Linked DNA regions of Ovis aries. The protein of the gene in region 3 interacts with the protein of the main gene of each other region in a pairwise test. Links are inferred from orthologs where the notes say so. Each region holds a gene or a part of one and is shown on either strand. Other genes may lie near its edges.

Region 1 (4,219 bases), on a different chromosome or scaffold from region 3:
GTTTAGGAGCCCAGCACACTTCCTCCTCTCATCAATGCTCTGGGATTGCCCACCAAGAAGATACCAGAAGGGACAAATCAGGACAGCCTGGAACTCACGGCTCACTGTCCCCTCCTGGGAAAAGGGTGTACCCAGATCTTTGAGAGAACTTCAGTTATCCTGACACACAATAAAGGGTGTTTTAAAACCAGGATACTGACATCCAGATGATTCAGAGTTGATTATATTAGCTTTGTTGGGGGTAATTCCAAATTTGGGGAAAACAGAAAAAAAATTATCACAGTTTGAAGGAATGTCTTTTAGTCTACACAATCTAATTTCTTTTTTTTAACTGTGATTCTGTTCTCTCAGGAGGCAGGGAAAACACCTACAATGATTACAAATGTGCCTTTTTAATCTTTAAGAACACACTTGTAGAGAACTACTAACATGTGTAACAGTCTGGGTTTTATAGAGCACTTTTCACTGTGTGGGCCTAACATACCAGAGAAGCTGCTGCGCCTCACGAGACAAGCTGCTGATCTGTTATCAGCCAGGCCTCCCGAGGGCCCACAACCAGAGCTAGTCTCAGACTCTGGCTGCTGATTCTTGCCTGTTTACCCCACTACAGCAAACTCCCTTAGGCTAACACCAGGTCTTACACCTTATCTCAGTTTCACTGATTTCACAGTTTAGAATATTTAGAATATTTAGAGCTGGCTTTCGGTGACACATATCTATACACCAACCCGTCTCATATGCTGGACTGACCAACACATAACCAGCAATACGTATAGCTTGTCTGCATATTCCAGCAGCTGTCAAGGTGCCCCTCACATGTCTCCTCGTGGGTGGGCTTTCCCGGGCCCTGAGAACACGAGTGAGAAACACCATCCCTGCTGTGTGCAGTGAGTGCTAAACGAGTGACTGCCTTCTTTCAGAAATCAGACTTGTAACTGATTACTAGAGTTACTTGTAACTGATTAGAAGAGTGATTACATTACTCTTCTCTACATTCATTTACACACATCTTGTCTCCAGATAATTATAGGGCTTGAACATTCGCAAGGTGGTCAATTTTTAAAAACACATGTTATTTTGGACTTCCCTGGTGGTCCGGTGGTTAAGATTCTCATGCTCCCAACACAGGGGACACAGGTTCAATGCCTGGTTGGGGAACTAAGATCCTGCATGCTATGTGGCCAAATAAAATTTTTTAAATTAAATAATAATTACTTAGGTTTCCCTGGTGGCTCAGAGGTTAAAGCATCTGCCTCCAATGTGGGAGACCCGGGTTTGATCCCTGGGTCGGGAAGATCCCCTGGAGAAGGAAATGGCAACCCACTCCAGTATTCTTGCCTGGAGAATCCCATGGACTGAGGAGCCTGGTGGGCTGCAGTCCACGGGGTCACAAAAAGTCAGACACGACTGAGTGACTTTACTTACTTAGGTTTGAAAAAACATTTTGATTATGAAAGTTATCTATTCATTACAGAAAATATGAAAATACAATGGCACCCCACTCCAGTACTCTTGCCTGGAAAATCCCATGGATGGAGGAGCCTGGTGGGGTGCGGTCCATTGGGTTGCAAAGAGTCAGACATGACTGAGAGACTTCACTTTTACTTTTCACTTTCATGCACTGGAGAAGGAAATGGCAACTCACTCCAGTGTTCTTGCCTGGAGAATCCTAGGGACGGGGGAGCCTGGGGGGCTGCCATCTATTGGGTCACATAGAGTCCGGACATGACTGAAGTGACTTAGCAGCAGCAGTAGCAGTGTGAAAAAACATATTAAGAACTACCAGTAAAAAAAAAAAGCCAGATACAAAAGACTATATGATTTTAAAAGAAAACTACCTACGATTTAACCCACCACCTATTTTGTAAACATTTTTTTCCATGTGTGTGTGTGTCTATATATATATATATGTATGTATGAGTAAAATTAACTGTGAGCACCACATAAATGGCTGTATCATATCCTTGTTCCATCAATTCTAAATGCACATTTTTTTTTTAATAGTTTCATTTCTTTGAAACTGGGATGCATCTTACAATCAAAAAAGTCTTCCAACCATTTCAGCCAAGTGGCACTCTAATACATTTGTGTGCAGATCATCTACTGCCCCTACTGGTAAGATCCAGAAAGTTCCATCATCAAAGCAACTTAGCTTTGAGGGAAGATGGGGTTCAATTTGATGAGTAGGCCAGAATACTGGAGTAGGTAGCTTTTTTCTTCTCCAGGGGATCCTCCTGACCTAGGAATCAAACCGGGGTCTCCTGCATTGCAGGCAGATTCTTTACCAATTGAGCTATCAGGGAAGCCTGACTATTTCCTTGGTTAATGTTTAACAGGATTGCTCTCCTGAGTAATGAGTATACTCCAGGGTTACCTTCTGCCATCCTTAGTAAAAGGTTGTCTATTTATAGAATATAAGCAACTAATCTCAATATTAGCTTAACATCCATTAGGGAGGAAAAAAAGATATTCCAAAGAAAAATATAAATTATTCTAGATTATTGGTGGTGCTACTGATTTCTACCAGAGACCTATAAACATAGAGCAAGTGTCTAGTTTTTGAAGTGCTGTACAGAAATGATAGTAACACCCAATAAGGATGGACTCTCTGTTTTACATAAATGAACCCACATCACTCACCAGATTCGGATCATAGTACGCTTCCTGAGTTGGCGGGATGTTGTTTAGCTGAGTGATATTAGCAGGAAGCATTTTCGAACAATTTATTAACATGTGTTCCAGACCTGTTAAATCCTAACAAAGCAAAAATAAAAGGATAAACCTTCTACATACAAGTAATGCTTGTGGTTTTAAAAATATGTTAAAGTCACCGAAGTGTAAGTGCTACCTTCAGAGTTTGACTGTGAGATTCTAAACAGAGCAGACTGAGACAATACAAACAACTCATCTTTGCCTCAAAGTGGAACGTACAGGACCGGGAGGCCCCACCGATACCAGGTGAGCCAGGGGATCACCAGATGGGTGTGCTACAGCTGGAATCCTCTTGGTGCCCATTATTCCTGAGGGTCCCACTCCTGGGACCAGAGGATGCCAAGGCAGAGGGGATTCTGCGGCACCACGGGTCTGGCTGAGGGCTCCACTCAGCCACATCTGAAGCCCCTGAATGAACCTATCACGAGAATCTTCTATGCAGTTATGGTCTGCCTCTTCTCCACACAATACCATAGCAATCCCTAACAAAAGTCTTAAAAAAAAGTCATCCTATGAAACACAAACTTCAAAACTGATTTTAATCCTGGCATTAAAAAGGGACTAGTTGTGAACACCCTCGTTTACTTGTACTTGCATTACACTGAAGTATGCAGGGCAAAGAGAAAGTATCAAACTTAAAAGTTTCATTTAAAATGTCACAAAATTTGGGGGTTTGGGGGTGGGGGGATAAAATTACAATACCTGCAAACTTAAAGGCAAGTCGTGAATTCTGGTGGCCAGCGTGCGGATTTCTCTGTCAGACAGGATACCAGATTGGTCTGTGTCAACTTCATCAAAAACTTGAGATATGTTCAGCGGCTGAACTGCACTCATGAGATAATAAAAATAAGAGAAGGCAAACTGCATGTCCTCGGAGTGGCGCACTTTGTGAAATGACGTCTTGTCAAATTCTTCAGGGAACCTGTCCAAATGTAACACACTGTGAGATCTGGATACTTACGATATGTATGGTACCCGACACTTGTGGCATCAGAATCTTCCTTCCCTCCTGCTGAGATAATACTTTCAACACACTAGTCATCACGTGTCAGAGCCATAGACGCAACATGGCGAGGATGTGAACTTCAAGCTGCTCTGGCTCTGAGCACAAGCAGAAAATTCAGACATAAGCGAGACTTACATGTCTTGCAGTTCCTGCATCACGATTCGGTCGATCATGTGAGGCATGTGTGCAGGGACTTTCCGAGATGTGAATCCAAACTTGCTGTTTAGAATTTTGTTTACGTATCGGAGGGAATCGGCGAATGTGTCTTTTAGCTGCCTCCCGGTGTGCTTGCTGTCAGTAAAGTAGGCCAGTTGTGTCTTCAGTGACTCTTCTTCCTGAAAGGAGAATTCCACCCAGCACAGCGTTACATTTACTGCACAAGTGTCCTGTGTTAACAAGAGACGGGGGTACTACTTCAGGTAGCATGGCAATAACTAGTCACTGTCGTGTGGGGAAAATGAAATGAGCACTAAACAGGTCTCCTTCTGCATCCTAAGACCA
Region 2 (4,219 bases), on a different chromosome or scaffold from region 3:
TGGTCAGACCGCTTTGCATAGAGCTGCCCTTGCTGGTCATCTGCAGACATGCCGCCTGCTGCTGAGTTACGGCTCAGATCCCTCCATCATCTCCTTACAAGGCTTTACAGCAGCACAGATGGGGAACGAGGCCGTGCAGCAGATTCTGAGTGGTAAGTTCACACAGACAACCTTGCTTTCTGTTCTTCCTTTTCCAGTCTGTCCACTGATATGCAGACTTTGTGCCCCTTGTTTTAAGGGGCTCTATGGAATGTTTTCTTGGCCTGAAAATTTTTCCTGCCTTTCTTTACTTACAATTTAGCCTGTGGCCCTGCCCATCAACATTCTCCTTTTTGTAATTCTTAAACTTCAAACATTCCAAATTTTTCTCTTGTACTAAGAACCATTTAATAGGGAATTTTAGGTTAGTTTCTCCAAGTTATAACTATAAATCAGGGAAACATATAGCTATTTCATCAGAATTTCTCATAATATTATATGTAGGTTTTAGAGGTAATTGATAAAATGGGGAGGAAAGGATTGAATAAATTAAGCAGATTGCTCCAGCAATGCTTTTAAAATGTCTTCTAAATGAATACAATTAAAATATATGGCTGCTAGTAAAAGATAAAATTAAATAGTGAATCACAAATGAAAATTTTTTTATTATTTTGATAATTCTTCTTAAAAATTGATTAGTAAGATAAAACATTATATGGGTCATTAAATGCCTATTTTAGTATGTGCCAGAACTTTTTAGTGTAAGTCTTCATACTTCTTATTGATCAGGAAGGATAATACAAATAATAGAATTTGGTGGTAAAATCTTGCCCTTATAAGGTTTTGTTTTTTTTTAATGAGAATTCTTCTTTTTATTTAGATGACAGTATAAAATTTTAAACTAATATTTCTGCAAAAAATTTGTATGTCTATAGACCATATACAGGCTGAACTTTTCAGTTGTACCTGTATTTACTAATCCAATTCCAGGTTATGTCTATAATGACTCCTGAAAGAATACATCAATTATATAGAATGTATAGTAAATTATTGGGGTTCTGTTCTGGGCAATATTTTAAAGGTTTGTTTAACAACCCCTATTAATACCAGGTTTGAGTTCCACTTTTAGAGACCCTCACTTTCATCTCACAAGCCTGTAGTTACCAACAGTATACAGTAGTAAAGTTTTAATGGTACACTCTGACAGCATTTACGTGAACATCTCTCTTTCCATTTACCAAATAATTTTCCCTCCTTTGCTACTCTGTTTCCTTAAAAACCAGCAGTAATCCTCCCTTATCTTTTATGCAGAAAGTACACCTATACGCACTTCTGATGTTGACTATCGACTCTTAGAAGCATCTAAAGCCGGAGACTTGGAAACTGTGAAGGTATGTCAATGCTTTAATGTCTTGGGTAGCTCTTTGAAACCTTTGCTTCCCAATTCATTTTAAGCTTGTAAGTGAAACAACTCAAATCCAAACAATAAGAGGGATGAGCAGAGTGGACTCATAAGGAGAGATCTTTATTAAGAATTTCCTAGTATGTGCCTTTCATTAAATCATTTTTTAGTCACTTTACTTCTGGTTATGTGAATGCTCTTTTTATTTCTTTCCACTTTTTAAAATTAAAGTGTTATTTTGGACCACACTCATAAATTTGCAAGCTAGTGCAAGCCCAGGTAATAGTACAGTAAAGTTTGAAACAGTGTTCTTGACCTTTTCTAAGAGATTCTCACCTTTGCACTAGGAAATCATCCTTATGATCCTGCAGTTGGGAAGTATTTTTTGATTCTACAATTTATGCATTAATGTAGCTACAGAATCACTTGTCATGAAAAGATACAATCTGACCAAATGATGATGGCTCTTTAGGTTATAGAGTCTCTCCCTTATGCCCAGACTTCCTTCTGTTGTGTAAAAAAAAAACTGTACTACCTGAAAAGTCCTGTGTTCACCCTACCAGCCCCTTCTCAGTATATCTATAGGTGACTTCCAGGTTCTGAGTTTTTGTTATAACAGCCTACTACAGTGGCAGGAGCAGCAACCAGACTTGTCAAATACCTGGAAAGCCCTTGACATCAGACCATGTAGCCTAGAAAATGTCACTTTTTCTCTGCTTTTTTTTTTTTTTTACCTTTTTTAGCTTTCTTTTCATTATCTCTCTTCACATCACTTCCCTAAATTTAGAATAATCAAATAAGTAAGCAGTGACTAAATAATTAAATAAGTAAGCAATGGCAGAAAGATGGCAAGATTAAAAATCAGGAAAATGAAATTTGAGTTTTTATTCTACCCCTTACCACTCTAGGACATAGGATGTCACTTAACCTCTCTGAGCCTTGGTTTTTTTATCTGTAAAATGGAGATGATGGTTAACTTCTCAAGTAGATAATAATTCTCTCACTGGAAAAAAAAAATGAAATTCTTTATAAATTATTACTCAGATATTTGTATTGTCATCCATCTGTCACCACCAATGATGCAGCCTCTCCAGCCTGACTTTGCTTCCACTGCTTTGTAAGCAGACAGAATTGAGCTTGTGCTGAGATGATAATGTTCAAAAGGAAAATGAACAGGTGACAAAGAGGCGATTTGGAGGACACAGCTGAAGGAAATAGAAGGCCAACAACTAGTATGATCAGAATCAGTTTGACCTGTAGACCTAAACAAATATCCCCTTGAAGATCAGGTAAAATATTGTTGATTGCTTGGCTCTGCTCTGATGGATCGAAGGGCCAAAGAGGTGGCCCAGACAGAATGAATGTAATTTTTCCAGAGCCGCCTTGTTGCCATGTCAAAGCAGGCAGAAATTTTGGGTAGTTCTACAGTCAGCCAGGTTTAATCTTACTTGAGCAAAGGGTGGTTAAGAGCGTGCTGGTACAAGCAGACAGGCTCTCACGGGGAGGAAAGCCTTCTAACAATGAAAGGAAGGCACCATTTGCCTTGGCAATGCTTGCTTTATTATGTTTTCTTCTTTTTGATTAGGATTTTGGCCAGGAAATATTGAAAAAGGTGAAATTGCTGTGCAAACATAAGAATATTTGTAGACACTGTAAAGCAGAACATCTTGCTGATTTTAAAACATCACTTGTATTATCTAATCAAAGAAATAGTCATTAGAAAATTACAACTTATCCAAGATGCCTGCAGTATTTTGGTGCAAGATCCTTAAATAAATACTAATGTTCTGTTTGTGTTTGTGTGTGTGTGTGTGTGTGTGTCAATAAAGCAACTTTGCAGCCCTCAGAATGTGAATTGCAGAGATTTAGAGGGCCGGCATTCCACGCCCTTACACTTCGCGGCAGGCTACAACCGTGTGTCTGTTGTGGAGTACCTCCTCCACCATGGTGCCGATGTCCATGCCAAAGACAAAGGGTATGTGTTAGAATGTCACTGTGTGGAATTCATTTCCTTGATACTTTAAAAAAAAATTTTTTTTTTTCATGATAGATTTTTTTCCCCTTGTTAAAAAAGTAATTTTTTTTTTAAAAGCTTAAAGCATAATGCTTAAAACTTTGTTGTTTTATAGTAGCTAAGTCATGTCCAACTCTTTACAACCCCATGGACTGTAGGCTTCTCTGTCCATGCGATTTCCCAGGCAGAAATACTGGAGTGGGTTGCAGTTTCCTTCTCTAATGCATCTTCTCCAGCCCATGCATCAAACCCATATCTCCTAAAGTATCAGGCAGATATATTTTTACTACTGAGCCACCTGGGAATCCCCCCAAATTAAAACTTTATGAAAATGTATAGAAAGTGAAAAGTCCCTCTCATTCCACCTCCTAGAGATTACAACATCAAAATTTTGTTGTAATTGTGAGGAGTTTTGAAGCACATGTGTACCAGTGTGTGTGCTGTTGTGATGGGGCTTGTTTTTAACATAAATGAAGATGTCATCCCGCAGTCTGCTTTACAGTTTGCCTTTTTTATAATAGTATATCTTGAATGTCTTTCTGTATCAGTACTAAGCAGTTCATTTCATCCTTTTAATGCCTATATATACTATTTTTTTGTATTTTGTAAATAAGTTTATATAGTTTATTGTTCATCCCTCCTTTTGCTGTTAAATCTTTTCTCCTCCAAAAAGAGTCATCCATGTTAGTAGAAACATTTCATTTTTACTAATTCAGATAGTCTCTATTTTTGTATTGGCTTATGAAACTATTTCAGTTTATCTAGACAGGGTTTAAAGCAGACACAAAAGACATCTAGAAAAGCACGAAGGAAGTTTTAACTGA
Region 3 (4,219 bases):
ACAAGTAATAGAAAACTTACCATCTTAACCATCCATCTCCAGGATTCTTTTCATCCTGCCAAACTGAACTCTGACCCCCCTCTCCCCCTGCATTCAGCCTTGGAAGCCATCTTTCTACTTTATTTCTCTGTGACTCTGACTCCTCCGGGTGTCTACGTGGAATCATACAGTATTTGTCCTTTCATGGCTGGCTCATTTCACTTAGAATAATGTCCTCAGGGTCCATCCATGCTGTAGTGTGTGTCGGAATTTTCTTCCTTTTAAAGGCTGAATTTAAATGCTTCATTGTATTTATATACCACATTTTGTTTACCCAGGCATCCCCGGTAGCTAAGCTGGTAAAGAATCTGCCTGCAACGCAGGAGACCCTGGTTCAATTCCTGGGTCGAGAAGATCCCCTGGAGAAGGGATAGGCTACTCACTCGAGTATTCTGATCTGGAGAATTCCATTGACAGAGGAGCCTGGCAGGCCACAGTCCATGGGGTTGCAAAGAGTCAGACAGGACTGAGCAATGTGCACTTTGCTTATCCATTCATCTGTTGATAGGCACTTGGGTTGTTGCTTCCACCTTTTGACTATTGTGAATAATGCTTCTGTGAACACATCTTTGAGTCTCTGCTTTCAATTCTTTGCAGTCTTATACCCAGAAGTGAAACTGCTGAATCACATGGTAACTCGACTTTTAATTTTTTAAAGAACCACCATACTGTTTTCCACAGTGGCCCTCCACCCTATTCTCACACAGAAGTCAAAATGCCTTTTTGAAATGTGGTCAATTACATCACTTCACTGGTTAACCAACCCCACTCCATGGCTCGCATTCCAGTCAGAAAAAACCCCAAGACTTCACAAAGGCCTGCCAGGCCCCACGCCCCCATCACTGATTTTCTCCTCTTCTCCCCCAGCACTGTGCCAAGAATGCTTCCTTCAAACACTCAGTATATGCATGTGCGCTAAGTCACTCCAGTCATATCCAACTTCACAACCCTCTGGACCGTAATCTGCTAGGCTCCTCTGATGGGATTCTCCAGGCAGGAATACTGGAGTGGGTTGCCATGCCCTCCTCCAGGGGATCTTCCCAACCCAGGGATCAAACCCACATCTCTTATGTCTCCTGCATTGGCAAACAGGTTCTTTACCACGAAGCCCTCAAACACTAGGTAGCCTGGGCTAAAAGTATGTTCTGTGCACTCTGACATCATCAGGAATATTCACCTCTAGCTGGTGAATATTATTCAGAATCAAAAATCAGACTTCACATTTTCAGCTACCTGAACTTGCTCAACAAGTGTGCTCAACGTGGTGAGCTCAAGAGCGTGAAAGCACCAGTTTACTGGAAAATATTTTCAGACTGGAGAAGGAAATGGCCACCAGTATTCTTGCCTGGAAAATTCCACGGACAGAGGTATCTGGTGGGCTACATGTAGTCCATGGAGTTGCAGAGTCAGACATGACTTAGCCATTAAAAAACAACATTTTCAAACCTCGTGGCTCAGAGGGTAAAGAATCTGCCTGCAATGTGGCAGACCTGAGTTCAATCCCTGGGTCAGGAAGATCCCCTGAAGAAGAAAATGGAAACCCACTCCAATATTTTTGCCTGGAAAATCCCATGGACAGAGGAGCCTGGGGGGCTACAGGGCTACAGTCCATAGGGTCGCAAAGAGTCGGACACGACTGAGCGATTTCACTTCACTTTTTTCAAATTGCAATGATGTTTGCCTCCCTTTGCTGCCTTGCTATCATATGGAATTGGAAGGGTGAACTCATAACAAGAAGACTCTGCATGGAGTGGGGGTTTCCAGTAACCTCTCCAAGACCCATTCTCTTGTCTAAGGTCACTCGGCCTTAGAGGCTAAGCCACACTGTGGACGCGCGTGTTGAAGAGCTCTGCATTTTCCAGAAGTCCGTGTTCCTTCACTGTTCCCCAGTCAGGCTTCAAGTCCTCTACGCTTTGGAAGGCGTGGACAGAACTTCAAGGCTCCTTGCTTCTGGGGGGCCCGTCAACTTCCAGAGGCGCTGGTCACCTCCTGGCTATAACTCAGAGTTGCACCAAGATTTCCAGCCCCCCATGATTCTCAGCCAACTTGCATCCACTGCTCCGGGACAACCCAGAGCTCCCACGAAGCCCAGTCATTCCCAGTCTTTCCCAGTTCCACCCACCTTGCCCAGTCCCCACTCACGGCTCTGCCTCCTGACAGTCGCTATCCACAGTCCAATCTGATAGCAGTTTCCATAAAGGATTGCCTCAGCTCAGATTTTTTTTTTCCCTGCCTTCCGAAAGAAACTTCTCAAGGACAAAATGATAAGAGGTGACAAATTGGCCTGGCACACAAGGAAAGCATATTCAAAAGGTAAAGTACTAGCAAAAACAAGCACAAACACTGCTGAACTTCCAACCCCTTGTTTGTAAAGAGACTCCAACAAGCCCTCCAGCCGTCTCCACCCCTCGCTCTGCCTCATGGCTCCTGGGTGCACTGCCAACTCTCTAAGGACTGCATTCAAGCAAAGACCCACTTTGCTGCATTTGGCTCACATGTGTTAGAAAAATGCTGTCTTGCTTCATAAAGAGTCTTCACCTGCTCACCTGTAGCTGCTGCTTTTCTCGGAGAAGCCAGTCTCGCCTGGTGATGGACACTCGCAAACTGTCCTGAGCAGCGGCTTCCAACGTCTTTGGATCCATTCTCAGCCGGGCCTGGGGGTCGTCACTGCCAGCTCTTAAAACACACACACACACACACATATATAGGCACAGATATGAGTGACCTGAAATCTTCAGATCTACATGTATGTTAATGCAAAGAAGACTCACAAAGTGGCTCCCAGCTGCCCTCGTCCTTAGAAGGGTCATGGGGAAGAGGTCCCTAGTGTATGTGTTTGTTTGAATGATAATCTGTTGGGGCTTTAGCAGTTGCCTAGAGTCACCTTGCTTTATTGGACTGGGCACCGTCCGGCTCCATAACTATGCGTGTAGCTATCTGTACTGAAAGCGTAAAATACACATCAGATTGTAAACAGTATGAAAACAAAGAATGCCAAATATCTCATTAATGATATTTTCACATTCATTACATGTTGGGATGACAACATTTTTGATACACTGGGTTAATGAAATGTATTTCTTAAATTAATTTCACTTATTTTTTTTTCTTACATTTAAAAAATATGGAGAGTAGGGACTTCCCTGGAGCTAAAGTGGCTAAGAATCTGCCTGCCAGTTCAGGGGACATGGGTTCGATCCCTGCTCCAGGAAGATCCCACATGCCAAGGGGCAACTAAGCCCGCCCTCTAGAGCCTGTGAGCCACCAGTACTGAGCCCACGTGCTGCAGCTACTGAAGCCCACACACCCAGAGCCCATGCTTTGCAACCAGAGAAGTCAGGCAATGAGAAGCCCCTGCACGGCAAGTAGAGAGTAGCCTCTGCTCACTGCATCTAGAAAGTCCAGCAACAAAGACCCAGCACAGCCAAAACTAAATAAAAAATCTTACTGTCGCTACCATATTATTTAAAATCATGCATGTGGTCTGCATTATACATCATTGGACAGCCCTGCCTGGACCCATCCAGAGCCAAATTCCGGGGCAGATCTTGGCTGTGGACATGACAGAGAGGGATGGCTGATTTGAAGATGTTTGGGTCAGAACTTCTCGGAAAAAGTGTGCTAGAAGACTATCAAAAAACCACTTAAAATCTGTTTGGCTCTTTCTCCTACGCTCACAGGAGCTGGCATATTTGGTTGAAGCAACACTGGTGAGGATGTGGCTCAGGCCGCCACCTTATGCGGGTAAGCTGGCCTTGCGGAAGGCTTGCAGGTGTTTCTCCTCAAAGGATGACAAATCAACTCCTAACCGAATGCAGCAGGATGGGGAAAAGTCTACCCTAAGCAAAACTATGCCAACAATCCAAGGAAACAGTGTCTGTGAAAGCACCGCTGACCACAGTTAAAAGGCAAACAACAAGTTGGGGAAAAGGAAATATTGCTAATGTCAAGAGTGCCAGCAACAGAAGAAGAAAAAGATGAGTACATCCATCAGAAACTCAAAAAAAGAGAATTATGACGGTTTATCATCAAAAATGGTTTTAAAAGCAAATTCAAACAACATAAAATATCATTTTTCATATAACAACTGACAAAAGCTTTTGGAAACCATACTTCCTTGGTGAGCGCAGGGAATAAAAATTATAGATCCAAAACATGCCTTTGGATCCTCTTGTCCAGG
Region 4 (4,219 bases), on a different chromosome or scaffold from region 3:
TGCAACTGTTAGTTTGGAACAGAACATACAAAGATTTGCACAAGAGAAAATGCTGCCAGAGTTCTGGCTTTTCACCTGCTCTACTGTTAGATGTCAAATTCATGACATTTCGCCCAAATTTGGTAGGAGGGCATGATCACCCATTTCACAGTAGAAATGGCACCATCCTTTGGTCTTCTACCCCCTCTCTCCATATGCCAGAAACTGTATCATGTCAACTCTGGATCATCAATCCAAAGGGCTCAGGGGGAGAAACAGTTGAAATGTGTTTCATTTTTAAAGTATTAATGTCATTTATTTTCTGAGTAGAGTTGAACTCTGCTTAGGAGTCCTTTTTCTTTTCTTTATTTAGCCCCCTGATTTACTCCATGAGCTTTCCAAATCTTACATTCTCTGACTCTTTCCAATTCAGTTATTGGATTTTGGTAGATGGCATAATTTCCTACGTCAAAGAAAATTAAGTTTACCGGGCCTGAATTCCCTCAATTCCTCCTCCTAACTTAAAAAACAATCTCTAGCAATTTACCTCTATCTACAACCATTTTCTGTTTTCAAAATTCTGGGAATTTTTAACTCACTTGACCTCTGTAGCATTTGACCCTGTTGACTCCATACGCCTAGAAAACCCCCTCCCCAGCATCTGATACCCTGCGTCTGTGTCTCTTCCTGTTTTTCTTTACTGGCTCCTTCATTTAATAGCAACACCCCCAAGAAAATAATAGCACCCCACATCACTGTATGCTAAGTCTGTGCCAGGCAGGGTTTAAGTGTATGTGTGTGTATTATACTATCTAATACAAAAACAATAGTTAGGTACTATTACTAGTCCTGCTTTACAAGGGAACAAACAGGTATGAGAAGTTCAGTAAATCACCTAGGCCCACAGCTGGTCAAGTGGCAGGGCCAAGACACAAACCCAGAGAGTATGGCTTCACGGTCTTCTACCATAAGCAATGAGTCTCAGCCTTGGTCTCTCTTCACGCTATATTCCTGGGCAGTGTCATCCATTCTGTGGTTTCAACTACTGTATATACATACATACATAGATAGATATATATAAAGTCACTTCACAGGTTGTTAATGTTATTTCCAAAATGGGATGAATTCTCAAATCTCTAACTCACAACTCTGCTAAGCTCCAGATCTGTATTTCCAACTGCATATAAATTACCTCTTCTGAGACGTCCCACAGGCACCCAGAATGCAAATATGTCCAAAATGAACTCATTATCTTCCCTCCTCCCTGCCCCTCAACTGCTGCTGCTTTATTACAAATGTTTTATCATCTTCTTAGTGACACAAGTCAGAAACCTAGAAGTTTCCTCTTTCGCCCCAAAAGCTGTCACTTCTGTCTCATCAATTTATACTCTTCTGTATTCCTGTTTTTTTAGCTGTCCACATCTCTGAATGATCTCTCATCTAGATTTTTCTCTCTAATTCATCTTCTGTAATCATTAAATATTTATAAACACAAACCTGACCACGTGGGCCCTCGGCTCACTCACCCAGTGAAGCCCAGACCCTGAGGCTGGCATTCAAGCCCCTCCGCACCCTGGCGCCAACACTGCCTCTCCTCACCCCATCCCCCGCCCCAGCCTCCTGCACCTGTCCCTGTTCCTGAAACAGGACGCACCCTCGGAGACGCCCATGTGTTTGCACGCCTCCCTCCCGGGGGCCTTCTCTAGGTTCTGTCCTCCCATCCACCTCAGAAGTCACTTCCTCTCTGCAGTCAGCCCTGTTTCCTCTTCAACTGGCATTTATTCAAGGACATTGCTTTTTCCCCTTATGTCATATTTTTAGAAGCAAGAAATGACAAGAATTCTCTAGTAAAGTTGCTTCTATAACAAGCATTAAAGATATCTTGCAATACTCTGACAAAGACAGTAAGATCAAGAGAAGAGGTCTCTGGAGTTGTCAAAAATAATCCTATATGAAGGTGTGTTTTAAGAATCATAAATTTCCCCCTTTTGGCCTTATTCCAGATTTCTTAATGACTCCCTTGGTCTAAGGTGAAGCCTACTCTCAATTTTTCAAGAGGTATTTGCAGAATCTTTGAGCTTCCTCTTTCTTTCCGCCTTCTGCTGCTCACATTTGGGCCACTTCACAGCTTGCCAGCACCTTCCCAAAGAGTGGGAGGGAAATCACATCAATGGTGAAATGGAATCAGTCCTTTGAGATTTTATTAATGTTCTGGAATTTTTTGGTAATGATAAGCAAAATCTGGGGATCAGACATCAACTCCATTTATCCATGTTATCCTATGTCAAAGCACTTCATTTCTTTAGGAGGCAGTGACAGAACTGAATACACGCATATTACCCATAGAGACACACACATTCATCTGGTCTTTAAAAAAAAAAAAAGAACAAAAAAAACAAAGTGAAGCTAAGCCATGAAATCCAACGCAACAGACCCAGGTGCAAAAGTGAGAAAGAAACGGCCGTAGCCCGCTCTTTGAGGCACACCCTCACATTCTGTCCAACCAGCTCAGCTTTTTACTCTGAATCTTCAACAAAGAGTTTCATCGACTTTACCCTTCTTTTAAAGAATTTAGGTTCCAGGGAAGTAGATTTTCTGAAATCCCAGGGTAATCTAACAACTCCACTCCACACAGAGTAGAATTAGTTTCCTAATTTTAATATAGTAAAAATTATTTTCACCCAAAAAGCATGTTGTTTGTGTCATTTTAGAATTCAATGAGAAAATGAAAGATATAAGCAAGATAAAATATAGGGACTTCCATTTTCTGGAAAATACTGATTTAAGCTAAATTTGACCCAAATGGAATGGAAAATGAGGATCACTGGGCTTTAAGCAGATTTGTATTCCAGAGATTAAAGGCTTCCCTTTAAAAAAAAGAAACTAGTAAGTTCTATATCTCTTAATATAGTTCCCTTTTAAAAATGGAATTTATATAAATGTGTAGGTTAAATAATTAATTAAAAGAGGCATTAGACAATAACAAGCACTCTGAAAATCTAAGTTATTATCTCAGGTTCCCTTGTTGTATCACATTAACATGAAGAACAGTGTTCTGGAAGAGGACAGTTTGGAGAAAAAATAATTAATTGGTTTTTCCTACCAATAGCTCTGGAGACAGACAGACTTCCATTCACCCTCCAGGCACCAAACCAGACTACACAACCTCCAAGGGCCTCAATCCGCTGCTTTTCATCCTGCACAGCAATGCAACAGAAAGAAGCAAATAATTGGATTCAAGATTTATTCAGCTACCTTAACAGTAAACAACAGATATAATATTCATCGGCTTCCCGGAAAGGGTTCTCTTTACTCTTCCTTTGAAAGGTGGGCTTGGTTGCTGAGATAATGGTGATAATTATAATAATAACTGAAAAGTAATAACTAGAAAACTGCCTATGGCGTGTGCCCTAACAGAACAGAGCATACCTACCTCTCTGTCTGGTTTGTGTGGCTTCATTAGTTCAACAGCTTGGCCCTTCCTCACAAGCATAACCTGGGAATCACCCACCCAGGCCACATGTAACATGTTGCCTCTGATAAAAGTCACCACTCCTGTGGTCCCACATCTTAAGCTCTGAAAGTAATATAAATAAAACAAGAGTCAGTAAAAATTAGCAGACATCAAATTCTCATTGAGAAGCAATTTGTAGATAATACAGACTTTTCAGATGGAAGCAAAACTACCAATAACTTGATTTCACAAATAAAATAGCAATTCCTATTTCTCAGTGCATTTTTCCATGCTTGATGTATTTATATGTGCACACACACATATAGATTTTATCTGTGATATGCAGGGCAGAGACAATTATCAGTTCACTTTACTTATTATTTTTTGGCCACGCCATGCAGCATGCAGGATCTTCCCTGACCAGGGATGGAAACTGTGCCCTGTGTTGGGAGCACAGAGTCTCAACTACTGGACCACCAGGGAAGTCCTCTATTCCGTTTCATGCACAGGGAAGAAAACTACGGCGGGCGATGTGACTTGCCCGAGGGCACGTACAGATCGGTACCCAACTGAAATTTTTCCCTCATGGTCCAGTGCTAAACCACCATATCAACCCTTAGAGTAAAGATCTCCATATTCTGGTCTCTGTCTTGTTACTGACCTACTGTATGTTTTGGGGGGGGGGGGGGGGCGGTCCTAGCTTTACAAAATAGCATACAAAGCATCTGGTTGGTGCACAACAAATGCTTCATACTCTGGATATTAAATAGGAGCCAAGAGAGAACA
Region 5 (4,751 bases), on a different chromosome or scaffold from region 3:
TTGGCTACTATAAATCCTAAAACCAATGACCAACCTAGTAGCAAGAGGACCTCTAGCACCCAGACTTCTCTCTCAAATCACCTCAAGGAACCAGGGCTTCTTGGTGGCCAGAAATGTATAAGTGAGCCAGGAATATGTTTTAAAAGAAAATAAGGAAACTCTCAAAGACTACCACTGGTCATATCAAAGTGGACAGGAGCCAACTTTAAACAGGCTGCCACTTGCCAACAACTTAAGTATGCAAAAAAAAAGAGACTGCAATAGGTTGAGACAGTTAAAATATATTCAAATCTATAAGTTCATGATGATTAAAAAAAAAAGAAAATCCTCATGGTTACCTTTGAAGGTTGCTAGGCCACCAACTCATTACTGTGCTCTGAAAATAGAGGGAAAGAATTAAGCATTTTTCTTGCCTTTCCTATACAAACTGTATTTCAAATAGCTGGTGGGGTTATCAAACAGCTGGTGAGTTAAAAAGTTCTTCATAAAAAATTTCCAGCTAATAAATACTAAGGAATGATGGAATCAGAAAATCACTATATTGCAGCCCCTAATGCAATGGATATAAGCAATTTAAATCCATGAAAGGATCTCACCATTAAGTGAATGGTTCATGGATAATTTCATGATGAATGGATTGGGCTGACAATACCTGAACCCACACTGCTCAATCTTAACATTAAGAAAGAGAGAAACTCAGAAATAACATGCCTCACTTAAGTATTTTGCACCAACAATGAAATCTTCCTCTGCTTCCTCCCCCAAAAAAGTCAAGGTTGAATCTGATCAAGCTTCTAGATCAGTGCTGTTCAACAGAATTATATGCAATTATGAAGACACTTTATATATGCAGCATTTGAAGAGTAGCTATTTGGCATATGTGACTATCAGACACTTGAAATGTGGCCAATGCAACTAGAAAACTGAAGTTTTTAGTTTTATTTAATTTTAATTCATTTAAATAGCCACAGGTGGCTGACACCTACTATATGGGCTGTGCAAATCTAGATCTCACTACCAGTTTATTCCCTTTAAAGGAAATAAAGGGAACAGGTGTACAAGTTAAAAGATGGCATCTGGATGCAGTGAACTAAATCTAGAATGTTAAGGGAAAAAGGGGAGGTAACAAAATTGTAACATTAAATAAGACTGAGGGACTTCCCTGGAGGTCCAGTGGTTAAGACTCTGCCTTCTAGTGCAGTGGGTCGCTGGTTCCACCCCTGGTCAGAGAGCTAAACTCCCACATACCAAGTGGCCAAAAAACCAAAATATAAAACAGAAGCAATATTGTAATAAATAAAAGACTTTTAAAATGATCTTCATCAAAACCAACCAAAAAAATCTTAGCAACACATAGATCTCTATGGGATTTTAATCCAAACAAGCTGATTTTAAAAACACATGTATGATAAAAAATAAAAATAAAAACACATGTATGGGACAGGTGGGAAAATCTGAACCCAGACTGAATACTGACAATGTTGTTCAGTCGCTAAGTCATATCCAACTCTTTCCAACCCCATGGACTACAGCACGCTAGGTTTCCCTATCCTTCACTATCTCCTGGAGTTTGCTCAAACTTATGTCCAATGAGTCAGTGATGCCATCCAACCATCTCATCCTCTTCCACTGCCCCTTTCTCTTCCTGCCCTCAATCTTTCCCAGCATCAGTCTATAGGATTTTTACTAATTTTCATAGATGTGATGACAAAACTGGTTTTGTAAAGCTGAAAACACAATCTGAGTTCTTAAAGAAAAATATTTAAAGTAACACAGAAACCAAAAATTCAATTCCTGAAACCCAGGTCAGTGTCGGTTTTAGCTGAATTTCAAACAAGCTTCCTAAAAGGAGGAAGCTCTAATAAAGTTGACTAGTGATGCTATTACCGTCCAATACCACTACTACCTTAACTGAGAACGGGAAGGGCCAAAGTTGTTCTACCTTTTAACGGGAGACAAGTGGCATCAATACAATTAATACATACAACAACTACAATAACTGTTAAAACCTGAATCTATAATGTTTATCAATATCTAGCCCGTTTTAATTTCAGTTGTTCTTACTATACTGATCACTGATGATATAGTCAAAAGGCAAGAAGCTCGATAAAAAGCTAATAATACTACATTTCAAATAAGAAAATACATACCCTTTATTATATCATTAAGCTACAGCTATGATCAGTATAGAAAAATTTGAAGGTAACATGTAGTTAATGATCCTTATGGTTTCCTCTTCGTATCTAGAAAATAGTTAAATGCAAGCATGTGGGGAACTGTAAAACTACAGGGCACAAATCCTACAGTACTGTTTTATTAAAGGAAGGAAAAAAATGTTAACACTGGTTTAAGGAACCGTTTGTAAGCCTTAAGGAAAACTACTCTGCGCAATACGCATGCTTTAACTAGACGCTGTAAATGAACACGAGTCGCTGACAGCAAGCTCACTTTTACTCTCTGATGTTGTAAAAACTACATTATGAGCCTAGGTTTACTGCTTCCAAATATGTTCATGATTATAGTGCTTTATGGGCCCATCCCTTTTTTTCTCTCACTTTATTTCGCATCCCTGATTTCTATGGAGCAATAAGTTCAGGGTTCCCCAAATTCTGTCCTTCATGATTTCTGCCACATTACCATACCTCTGGAACTAACATTATGGTTTTTAAGTCAATTATTTTTAAAAACTTGCTAAATTTCCCACCCATAAATGAACCACTATCACCTGCCGTCAGCAACCTAAGCCTCAACAAGGCTAGGAAGGATGCTAGCCAAATGAGGCAGCCCAGGCGGGAGGGCTGGGCCGGGGGTACCTCCCCAGAAGTGGCAGCCTGACTCGCTGCCGACTCCGCTGGGAGAAGCGGAGCAGCTCGCCCACCCCGCCGCCCTCCCGCCGGCCGGCCTCAGGGGAAGGGCTGACCACCTGGCTAGCCCGGACTGCGCGCCGTGGGAGGCCATATCTTGCTTCGCGGGTCTGCGAAGCGTTTGCGGCGAGGAGGGGCGGGGCGCCGGGGCGGAGCCGGGCCGGCGGAGGCGAGCCTGGAGGCCAGCGGGCGGCTGAGGAAGTCGGCCCCCGGCCATTCGGCCGCTCAGTCTGCGGCCCCACTGCAGCCAGGGCGGCCTCCGGCTCCGGACACCGGCACCCGTCGCCTGTTGGACTTTCACACATGCGGTTACAGGCCTGCCACGAGCGCGCCCCCGAATCTTCCCGCCGTTACCTCCGGACGGGGGCGCGCACGCGCGTCACCGCCAACCTGACGTCCAGTCACGGTCTTCGGAACATTCGTTCCGCCTACTGCTCCCTGACTTTTAATTGAAGCAACGTCCTCCTTGACCCCCCCCCCCCTCCGCCCCGCCAAATGGGCTCACCGACTTCCGGGGATCGGAGAGCAGGGCGCCTCGGCCACATGACCGCTGGGGGCGTGGTTCTGGCTGTGCTGGGCCAGTGCTGGTAAAGGTTTCCCGCGCCCTAGCTTAGGTAGTGTAGGAGAAGCGCATGTTCGGGTTTCGGCCGATCCTATCGGCAGAGGTCGTTGCCCTCACCTCACCCTGATAACTACCTCCCTTACCGCTCGTCGGGAGGGTAGAAAAGGACTTACACGAAGGCCCTGGACTTCCCCCGCTTCCGCATTTGGTAGAGCCCGCCTTGGGCCGGAAGCCGAGGTTATGGGGCGGGATCCCACGCCTGTACGGACGGTGGTGGCCCGAGAGGGTCATATTTAGCGGGGGGGAAAGGGCATTCCAGGTTTGCTCTTTTAACTGCAAGTTTACCGATCTCTAAAACAGAGGTGAATAAAACTGCCCCTGTCCCGAAGAAACGCACGCACCGCTTGTCTGGGAAGACCCTGTAACGGGCAATGTAACAAGCCCCTGATGGGGCCCATTCACTGCGCCCCGGGAAATATGGAACCTGCGGAGGGGCGGATATCGCGTTCTTCTTGGAGCTTAGAGAAAGCTTCCTGCAGGAGGCAACCTGGGAGCTAAGTTGTTTAGAGTGACTGGGGGTTAGCTGAGGAAAAAAGGAAGAAGACAGAGCATTCCAAGCTTTGGGACAGTCACGTGTGTAAGATTTTGTTCAGGAAAGTGGTAACAGTTAATTATGGGGACTGGCAAGTGCCTGGGACGCTGGCTGTGACCTGGTCATTGCCCGCCTTGTACTTTCCACGCTTCCAGCCCCTGAAGAGTGACGGCACCTTAGCGCCTAACTCTGGAAATGAGATGTTAGCCCCGATGAGCTGACACTCAACTTTGAGTTTGGAAGGAAAAATAGGTGTTCGTGATGGGGCAGAGAGACCTTTTTAGGTGCAAAGGCTGGAAAGTGTGACAAGTTAGATATATTCTAAAGAAGAATAGGTGAAAAACTATTTGAGGCCAAATTGAGGGAAAACATGCTGAATCATTAATAAAAAATTTACGCACAGCAATTGAAAACAATAATGCTTGAACCATCAGTCATAAAGCCAACTTAACTTGCCTAGTGAATCATAAAAACAAGGAACCATTCAAGGGCAGAATGCATGCTGACGCTGAGTGATCCGAGAAAACTTTACCAAAAAATGGAATCTGTGTGTGACTAGGAAGATCAGCTGGGAGGTACTGTGATGTTATAAAGAAACTGTAATCTAATCCAGGTGAGATGAGTCTCCCTGGATGATCCAATGCCAAAACCCACACTAGAAAGCCTAGAGAACCCTAGTGGCTGGATTACATCATCTTTTCATTCTTCATGTTTAAGAAATAACCTCTTTGGT
Region 6 (4,219 bases), on a different chromosome or scaffold from region 3:
CTAAAGTCATCTTGGATCCTCAAGGCCTACTCCAGTCATCTCAGTCAGTGTCTTGTGGACCAGAGCAAGGTGTTCCCTACTCAAACTCCTGACCCCAAAATTGTGAGCAATAAAAACAGTTATGATTTTAAGTCATAAGTTTTGAGGCAATTTGTTATTCAGTAAAGGAAACTGATACAGGTAATGGTAAGCTAGGTGACATAAGCAGTGCTTGCAGCAAAGGTTACAAAGGAAAAGTACTAGATGCTTTTGAAAGAGTCAGTATTAGGGATCCTAACAGCACCCCACTCCAGTACTCTTGCCTGGAAAATCACACGGACGAAGGAGCCTGGTAGGCTGCAGTCCATGAGGTCCCTAAGAGTCGGACACGTCTGAGCGACTTCACTTTCACTTTTCACTTCCATGCACTGGAGAAGGAAATGGCAACCCTCTCCACTGTTCTTGCCTGGAGAATCCCAGGGACCAGGGAGCCTGGTGGGCTGCTGTCTATGGGGTTGCACAGAGTCAGACACGACTGAAGCGACTTAGCAGCAGCAGCAACATAATCTGAGAGATAAGGAAGGTTTTCCTGAGAAGTGATATACTTAAAAGTGGTAATTCAATGTTTTTTAATAGGGAGGAAATTAAAAACATAAATTTTGTTCACTGGTTTCAAATTTCTATTTTCCTACATTTCCACCTGTTTTACTTTTGAAATAACATTTTAGCCAGGAACAAAAGTTTTTTACTGTCCTGTTGCAGTTGAAGAATGGGATGCTCTGATGACACTAGCATTTCAAAAAGTAAACAGGCTATACTGCTTTAAAATTTTCTGAAGAATTAGAATGTATTAAAACACAAATAACCTAAAATTGGTAAAGAATCCACCTGCAACGCAGGAGATCCTGGTTCCATTCCTGGGTCAGGAAGATCCGCTGGAGAAGGAAAAGGCTACCTACTCCAGTATTCTTGGGCTTCCCTTGTGGCTCAGCTGGTAAAGAATCTGCCTGCAATGCGAGAGACCTGGGTTCGATCCCTGGGTTGGGAAGATCCCTTGGAGAAGAGAAAGGCTACCCACTTCAGTGTTCTGGCCTGGAGAATTCCTGGAGAATTCTATGGGGTCGCAAAGAATCGGACACGACTGAGCAACTTTCACAACCTAAAATTATACTGCTTACAATTTAATATCACTCTATTTTTGCAAACTTCTTCAGCTATGTAATCCCTTATAGTTATTTTTGTGAAAAGATGTGGACAACGTAAGACTGAGAGAAATAAATAATACTTTGATAACAGAATTAAGACTGGAAATAACTCCCAAAACTGCAATAATAGAATAAAACCAACATGAAAAAATTAAACAAAATTAATTGAAGAGACATTCACTTTTAGGGTTAAAAAGAAATCAACCACTGAAGCACAAAAGGAGAAAATAATCTAGTTTAACAGTATAAAAAACCCTTGGGGTTTCAGCTGACCACAAATATATCAGACAATAGTAAGTAAGCCATATCAGCATAAAAATTGTTAATCTCATACTTCATTAACACATTTAATTAACAAATATTTACTGTAAACCTAAGACATACCACTTATTTTCCTAAGAGAATACAGTAATGAGGACCAGAGAAGGAATAATCTCACCCTATTTAGAACTAATCAAACTAAAAACATATGGAATGTTAAGTCCATATAAAGGAAATGGTTGAAAAAATTACAGAAACGTGACCTTCAAAAGAAAAATGTTCTAATTTGAATATTGCCCTAAAGAAGAAAGAAAGGTCTTAAAACAATTCTTTCATTTTACCAAAATAATGACTACTATGTGACAGGCACTGTGCTAGGCACTGGGGTAAAAGTGGAAAACAAAATGTCCCTGTCTTCACTCTACTTATAGTCTAGTGAGCATGCTATCCTCAAAGACCTCTTAGCAGGTACCAAGTCAGCATTTTTTATAACAGAGATCTCTTTTATAAGAGATCTATGTTATATATAGATTATCTCACTTATTGTATATTACTACATAATAATTGCTTTTATAATAGAGATTCACATACTTTGATAAGGGCTGAAATAAATTACCTCCAAAGTTACTCCCAAATCTAAAATTTTATGATTACTTACTTGGAGCACTATACCATGAAAGAATATAATTGTTATTCTGAGATAAATAAATATATAATGAATAAGATAACAGGCAAACCAATAACATACAAACACACAGACACATGGGTTTTCTTGTTAATATTTCTACCTAATGAAACAACCATGCCACTTCATACATTTAACCTTCATAGCCAAACTACTCAAAACCAACTTCAATCCACATTCAGAAAAATCTAATCTCAAATTCTTTATTCCACTGTAACAAGAATTTTTAAGTCTCTTTATCCTAGTGATCATCTTACCCTAGTTAAAATAATTCCAAAGAAATTAATATCCATGATTTCTCTGGGATTTCTTATATTAATTAGTATACCTTTCCATGGCTTTAGCTGTATAAGGCAAATGCATTTCAATACTGTGTTCATCTTCATCTGTCTGCAGAGACATGCGTTCAAACATTCCTGTCTTCCATAGTTCTCCGTAAACTAGAGGTTTCAAAATATAGTAAAACAAATGTATTAATGTATATCCTTATCCTGTGAGACTACCCAGTAACACAAAACTACATGCTTTGGCAAGAGACAAAAGTATCACGTAATATTCTCCTTTGGCTTTAGTTTTAAAAAAAGGAAAAAACAACTAGCTTCTTATATAAGACAAAACAGTCAGACACGTAATGATTTACTCAGCATTTTCATATGTTATATAGTTACATAAAAAATAATAATTTAAAATTATCATCAGGTCCTTTCATTATATCTAAAATCACCTCTAAGTTTAAGGTTTTCCTTGACCTTAATCAACCAGTAGATACTAACAAGAACGGTTGATCAAAACTCCTACTGAAATATGGAAAAATCCCCCCGTCTACTTCCTCATGAGGTTTAATAATACAGTTTTTGAGTTTTGTTTTATTTTTAAATAAAATGTATAGGATTATTGTTTTACACCTTAGGTTTTGTTATACCAAGAACAGAAAATTCCTACTGAAAATGTTATTTTCCTCAGCATTAAGAATTAAACTTGTCAGGTAGACTGGAATATAAATTTACCACAGGACTATGCCTTAATCTTAAATTTTTAAAATGATTTAGCAATTCAGACCCTTCAGATGAATTATACTTAAAACATTATATAGCAAGAAAATAATGGAATTTAATACAAAAAAGACACAAGAATATTTTTATTTTATCATTGAACAGAACCAGCATTTTTATAACTACATCCTTAAATGGGTTTACCAATATCAAAGAAAGAAACAAATAACTATATGACTTTTCTTCTATGAAACTGTATCTGATTAAAAATTCTCATTGTTAGGCTATCCAAAACCAAAATTTTCTGAATGCTCTAACAAGGTTTTACAAATCAAGTGTGACCCAGAGGGTGGATGAAGGTAGTAAAAAGGTACAAACCTCCAGTAGTAAAATCAGTAAGTACTGGGGATGTTATGTACAACATGATAAATATAATGAACACTGCTGCATGTTATACATTAAAGCTGTTGAGAGTAAATCCTAAGAGTTCTCATCACAAGGGAAAAATATTATTTTGATTCTTTAATTTTATATCTATATGAGATTACATTCACTAAACTTATCATTTCATGATATATGAAAAGTCAAATTACTGTGTCACTTTAAAACTTATAATGTCATATGTCAATTATATCTCAATAAAACTGGAAGAAAAAATAAAAATTTTAAAAGCATTTTAAAAATTTAAAAATTACATACCCTAAAGCCATTCCAGGGAGTAAGGTTAGAAATATTCCAGTTTTGTTAATAAGCTATATCCTAACAACAAAATGCTAATACTCTATAGACCCTGAAATTATGAAAATTTAAGCCTAAAGTTTAGAAAGAGGTGACCATTTCCTTTGCAAACAGCTTCTTTTATTCTACAAAAGAATTTGCTGCAAAATTTCTTAAAACAATAAACACTCAACATAATTAAAATATAATTTCATGAACTGGAAGGATATACGCTAAGTTCATGAATGTGGCTACTTTTGGCAATGTGAGAATGTAAAGTGAGTTCAGATGAGGGGAAAGTCTGAGTCAAGTGTGAATGATAAGTACATGAGGGTTTGTTATAGTAGTTTCCGTACTGTTTGGCATTTTTAAAGTTATGT
Region 7 (4,873 bases), on a different chromosome or scaffold from region 3:
GTGTGTGTGTGTGTGTGTGTGTGTGTCCCAATCCCTTTTTCTCTCTTGTATAGATAAGAAATAGTCAAACACTGATCCTGGTAAATGCTCTTAGTCATGAATGAAAAAATTCCCACAGGAACGGCCGTTACGTGATACGGCAACATCGAAAATGAAAATTCAAGGAAGGCTGCTAAAAGATCAAATCAGAATAACCCTGTTACTAGTAACTGAATACCTACAGCAAATGTGGTTTGCAGAGGCTAAAACTGCCTGGGGTATTGGTTAAGAATCTCCTCTTCAAATCTCCCCCTCCATGTGCCCTAGGTTTACAATTTAGAATTTCTATGAAATTCAGAGAGTGTTCATCAAACACCCAAGCTTCTAAATGGGCAGGAAAAGAGATGTGTTATTCAACCCAGAGAAACTTTGCCTTTCAAACTTGAGTTTTAATTCACTGCCATATTTATCAAGATGGCCACTTTCAACCTTTGCCCTCTGATCTGCCATTTTTAAATGATCTCTTCCTTATCTCAAGGCATTTTTTCTGCTCCCTTTAGGACACAAGAATCTCCATCACAACTAGTTGAAGATGAGGTGATTACACAACCATGATGCCATATAATCAAGGTCTAGTCCTCACTCAGTGTATTTCACATTCCTCAGCTTTCAGTGTAAGTCGCATTATTAGAAACATGTACTTCGATTGTCTGATCCCCTGGAATAACACGAGTTCTTGGATTAAGTTCTTCCGACTGACCCATAGTGATATAGGGGTGGCAAAGATCCCCCACCATAAAATCATAAATCAGAGAACCGAGCTGGGCAAGGAAGAATCAGTTAAGTAACTAATTGTCATTAAAAAGTGACAGCGAGAGGTTTCTCTCTCCTAGAACTGGTCCTGTATAAGTCAAAAGCTGCAAAACTCTATGCCATATCAGGAAACAGGAACATGTTCAGACTACTGCCATCAACCCTTAGTTGTTCTCTGATGAGTTCACTGTCAGCCTACAACCTGAGTGCCAGATAAATGCTTATCACTCAGTGGATTTGTCTGGAGCACTCCCAACGACTCTAGAAGATCTTTAAGAAGAACTCACCTTGAACTTTTTACAGCTAATCTCCACCCTACCCACACACAATAGGTTGTTAATAAATAATCGATTGTTGACCAATTTCTCATCTTCACCAATGGGCATGGGAGACAAACAGCAAACAAGAGTTGAAACCTTTCACACTATAATTTATCACTTGAGACATTAAGGCTGAGAGAAAAAAATTGTACAAGTATGAAGGTCACCCTGATAAAGGAAAGCACATGTGGTATGCAAAGACAAAATGCACACTGTACTTATTTCCCAGAGATGACATTTTCTGAAATTCGGTTTACCAAATTGGTCTTCTTTGTTTCCTCATTTAACACAGTATGGGGTGGGGAGCGTCTAATTCATCGATGACAATCTATTCAAAATGTGAGGGCTTTTCTCTTTTCTTTTACCCTTTGACTATAATCCACTTAGTCCTCATCCCCAAAGCCCTCCCAAATAGTGGCGGGGTGTGGGGGGAGCGCTCTGAGACGCCCTTGCTCAGATACTTAGCAGAACTCTGTTCTCCACATGGGCTATTTAGGAGAGTCGCTGTCTCCTCGCGTGACTCCACTGCCTCCTGGGTTCTTCTCTCGCTGCGAACAGGAGTCAGGGTGATGAGATAGTCTCCCCTGCGGTCCGGGGAGGCGCTGGCCATGGTCCTGACCTCAAGCTCGGGACTTGAGCGCCGAGGGCGCCCAGGAGAGGCGCTGGGAGAGTGCGCAGGGCGCGGCGGGGAGCGGCCGTCGAGGCCCCCGCCCTTCCCGACCCCGGGGGAGCCCGCTGGCCTCCGCGCGAACCCTCCACTGCATGCTCGGAGCTGCATCAAAAAGGGTGGGGCATCCAGCCACGGCTGCAATCGGAAGCCACCCGGGAGGATTGAAGAAGAATGGAAACCCGGCCCGTCCCCTCCCCCTCCAACTATGCTACCCCCTCCCCAGTAGGGGATAGGCCCATCCTTTACCCCCCATCCTCCACCTCCCAGGCCCAGGGAGGCGCGGGCAGCCTTTGTGGACGCACGGCCGCCCACCACCGAGCCCGAGCACAGAGAGGGGTCGGGCAGGGTGGGGTGTGTGTGCACCTGCAAGAAGCGATATTCGAGGCGGGGCAGGACTGTGGGTTACGCTGGGATCCTCGGTTCTCCGCCGAGCTGGAAGGGGGCGAGGGAGGGGCGATCCCCACGCCCTATTCTCGGTCTCCAACACCGCTCCCCCGACCACCACCCATACCAACCTGGTCGTTGATGTTCTGCAGAGCTTCCTTGCCCGAGGCCCGCCGAATCTCCACCTTCCTGCTCGATTCAACAGATGGCTCCCCGCCGGCGCGCCGGCCCTGCCGGGAGTAGGGCGTCTGCGGGTCGGGGCCCAAGTGTGCGACGTCCCGCTGCTGGGCCACCACCTGCCCCGAGCCCCGGCCCACCGTCAACGAGTCGAAGTCGATGGTCTTGTTCTCCGAGGACCCCTCCACCGGGCAGAACATGCCACAGAATTTCTGCCGAGGCTTGGGGCTGCCTGAGCCCAGGTTTTTAAAAAAGGCAGGGACCTCTTCGTCCTCTGCCGCCTTCCCGGATTGCTTCCTCTCAGCCATGGTGTGGGGGCTCGGGGAGGGTCCTTGCCGTTCGTCCGTCCGTCTGCCAGTCCCTACGTCTGCCTGTCTCTAGGCACAAACCCCTTGCCCCGGCTGCAGCCGCGGCTGCCGCTCTCTGCCTACCGCAAGGTGTACAAAAAGGAAGGAGGGCTGGCGAGCGAGCGACCCACCCCTCACGGTCCCTCCCCCTGACCCCGCTTTCTTCCCTCCCTGCCCACGCCCCCCGCCAGCTCCCGCGAGCAGCAAAGTTGGGTCTGGGCGGGTGGCCGCTGCGGCAGCGAGAGCGGAGAGGCTGCCAGTTCCCGGCAGCTGCGGGAGGAGCGAGGCGCGGGCGGGGCGGAGGCGGGGCGCGGCGCGCCGGGGAGGGGAGCGAGGAGCCGGGGAGGCCAGGGAGGGCCTCGCTCCGGAAGTGAAGCTGCCAGACCACCGGCTAATGGATGCGCAGCGGAGGGCCCGCTGACCGCTCTGGGCGCCACGGTGAGTACCCGGCAGGGCACGCGGGGACAAAGATCGTAGGGCGCAGTCCCTGGTCCCCGCGCCCCTCTCCCGGACCTGCCCGGCCCAGGCGCCTCTTCCTCACCGCATTGCGGAGGTGGGCCCACGACGAGTGCCCACCGTGGGGAGGGCTCCCTCCCCCTGCCCCGGGTGTGAGCTGATGGGTGGGGAAAGTGGCACACGCTGGCGGGCGCCAGGACACCCATGGTGGAGGGGCGGGGGAGAGGAGGGGCGGCACTGGGGTTGGAGAAGAGATGGCGCAGGCCGCGCGGAAGAGAGGGGACCGTGAGAGGCGCGAGGACACTAGAGCTTCGGTCTAACCACCGGCCGTGGTGGAACACTGGGAGCAGAAATTGAAACGTGATTCTCACTTACTGCTCCCACAGTGGTGGTGGTGGGGCGCATCGTGGCAGGGAGAGATACAGAGGGCGTAGCAAATACGAAGTGGGTGGGTGTAGAGACAGGAAATAGATCTACAGTCTGTGCAAGTGTAGCAAGGCGAGGAGTTGGCAGGTACAGCCCAGCGCGGCAACTTAAGGGTATAGTGAGAGGGGATGCGGGTGCGCGGTATTGGCCGAGGGCGACGTGTACCGTCGCTGCGCCACTGCGCCAAGAGGGGTCCGGCAGAAGGTCTTCATTTGATATCTTCCGCCCCTCCCTCCCGCCAAAGGGGGAAAGATACACATGGAAGCCCACCCCGCCAAATCTCCAGCCCTACTGGCGCCCCGCCTCATTCCACAGCCCCTGTAGCGCACTGCGCCAGAGCCGCGGGGTTTCCTAGGCTGCCAGAAGCCGCGTGCCTGGGCGCTAGTGCGCGCGCGTCCAGTGCAGGATCAGCATGTGGGGCGCGGCTGTGATGGTTGCCTTGAATTGTGTGAGGCCAAGCAGCGGAAAGGTGTATGGGGACGTGGTGTGTATGCACGGGTAGATCAGCCTCAGCCATGGGATTAGTGGGCATCCAGGGGGCATTTTGATGTAACGCCAGTACATCAGGCCAGTAACACGGCCTCCCAGGACCGTTCATTGCTTACTGCTATTCCCCGTGTCTTTTCCACGTCTCAGTCCCTACCCAGGGTTGATTACAGCCCCGCCCCTCTCTCCACAGTGGCAAAACCCTGCAGAAATGATGCCCATCCTTTGGCAGCTCGAGAAGGAGCTCTGGGCATGCTCAGTGATCAGGGCGGGTTTAGACTGGGAAACTGTTAACCACAGGAGCGTCGTGCCCGGCTGAGCAACCAAAGATTCGGTCCCATTGTCAGCCCTTGCCCTTGGAAGGACTAAATGCGGATACCCAACCCTCCTCCACAATTGCCAGGGAAAGGTGAATGGAGTTAAACTTAGAGGACAACCAATCCCAGCTGGAAGATAAGCCCACCATGATAGGATGAGAAGGAAGGACAGAGGAACATACCTGTGCAGGGGATGAGAGAAGCAGAGGCGGGGCGTTTGGACCTGGCACCAGATGTGCTTTGCATCTGAATAAAGTGCCTCCACACGAATTAAATTTCCTACTCCTAGCAGACCCCTGGGATGAGTGCTTCCTTATCACCACTTTCCAGGGTAGGAAACAGAGTTAGATGCTTTGCCCAAGGTGACTATATAAATGATCCAACAAATCCAGTGGGGTCTTCCACCTGAAAGTCTAGTTCCTTTTCCACTTTATCCTATCTTTATGTGAGATTTTCACATTTTTCCCCCTATCCAAATATTTCCAATCTTGGTCTTAT

Evidence for each region.
Region 1: the proteins of DISC1 (region 3) and GNPTAB interact in a two-hybrid assay, tested with the Homo sapiens proteins (2 studies listed by BioGRID and IntAct). The link is inferred for Ovis aries from reciprocal best matches to the Homo sapiens genes DISC1 and GNPTAB.
Region 2: the proteins of DISC1 (region 3) and TNKS interact in binary tests that used the Homo sapiens proteins (3 or more experiments, as listed by UniProt). The link is inferred for Ovis aries from reciprocal best matches to the Homo sapiens genes DISC1 and TNKS.
Region 4: the proteins of DISC1 (region 3) and PPM1E interact in a two-hybrid assay, tested with the Homo sapiens proteins (2 studies listed by BioGRID and IntAct). The link is inferred for Ovis aries from reciprocal best matches to the Homo sapiens genes DISC1 and PPM1E.
Region 5: the proteins of DISC1 (region 3) and CEP63 interact in binary tests that used the Homo sapiens proteins (3 or more experiments, as listed by UniProt). The link is inferred for Ovis aries from reciprocal best matches to the Homo sapiens genes DISC1 and CEP63.
Region 6: the proteins of DISC1 (region 3) and MEMO1 interact in a two-hybrid assay, tested with the Homo sapiens proteins (2 studies listed by BioGRID and IntAct). The link is inferred for Ovis aries from reciprocal best matches to the Homo sapiens genes DISC1 and MEMO1.
Region 7: the proteins of DISC1 (region 3) and DPYSL2 interact in a two-hybrid assay, tested with the Homo sapiens proteins (2 studies listed by BioGRID and IntAct). The link is inferred for Ovis aries from reciprocal best matches to the Homo sapiens genes DISC1 and DPYSL2.

What each region holds. Positions count from the first base shown.
Region 1 is NC_056056.1:171,146,405-171,150,623, forward strand, and holds part of GNPTAB (N-acetylglucosamine-1-phosphotransferase subunits alpha/beta), read right to left. Parts: intron 4,054-4,219; coding exon 3,854-4,053; intron 3,635-3,853; coding exon 3,415-3,634; intron 2,755-3,414; coding exon 2,641-2,754; intron 1-2,640. UniProt on the Homo sapiens protein: Catalyzes the formation of mannose 6-phosphate (M6P) markers on high mannose type oligosaccharides in the Golgi apparatus.
Region 2 is NC_056079.1:24,768,719-24,772,937, forward strand, and holds part of TNKS (poly [ADP-ribose] polymerase tankyrase-1), read left to right. Parts: coding exon 1-152; intron 153-1,290; coding exon 1,291-1,370; intron 1,371-3,210; coding exon 3,211-3,356; intron 3,357-4,219.
Region 3 is NC_056078.1:3,971,942-3,976,160, reverse strand, and holds part of DISC1 (disrupted in schizophrenia 1 protein), read right to left. Parts: intron 2,716-4,219; coding exon 2,586-2,715; intron 1-2,585. UniProt on the Homo sapiens protein: Involved in the regulation of multiple aspects of embryonic and adult neurogenesis. Required for neural progenitor proliferation in the ventrical/subventrical zone during embryonic brain development and in the adult dentate gyrus of the hippocampus.
Region 4 is NC_056064.1:9,632,280-9,636,498, reverse strand, and holds part of PPM1E (protein phosphatase 1E), read right to left. Parts: intron 3,557-4,219; coding exon 3,413-3,556; intron 3,177-3,412; coding exon 3,083-3,176; intron 1-3,082. UniProt on the Homo sapiens protein: Protein phosphatase that inactivates multifunctional CaM kinases such as CAMK4 and CAMK2. Dephosphorylates and inactivates PAK. May play a role in the inhibition of actin fiber stress breakdown and in morphological changes driven by TNK2/CDC42.
Region 5 is NC_056054.1:255,493,882-255,498,632, forward strand, and holds the start of CEP63 (centrosomal protein of 63 kDa), read right to left. Parts: upstream 3,286-4,751; 5' UTR 3,170-3,285; coding exon 2,924-3,169; intron 2,244-2,923; exon of another isoform or gene 2,151-2,243; intron 377-2,150; coding exon 339-376; intron 1-338. UniProt on the Homo sapiens protein: Required for normal spindle assembly.
Region 6 is NC_056056.1:91,907,289-91,911,507, reverse strand, and holds part of MEMO1 (protein MEMO1), read right to left. Parts: intron 2,571-4,219; coding exon 2,459-2,570; intron 1-2,458. UniProt on the Homo sapiens protein: May control cell migration by relaying extracellular chemotactic signals to the microtubule cytoskeleton. Mediator of ERBB2 signaling.
Region 7 is NC_056055.1:39,168,430-39,173,302, forward strand, and holds the start of DPYSL2 (dihydropyrimidinase-related protein 2), read right to left. Parts: upstream 2,948-4,873; 5' UTR 2,652-2,947; coding exon 2,298-2,651; intron 1-2,297.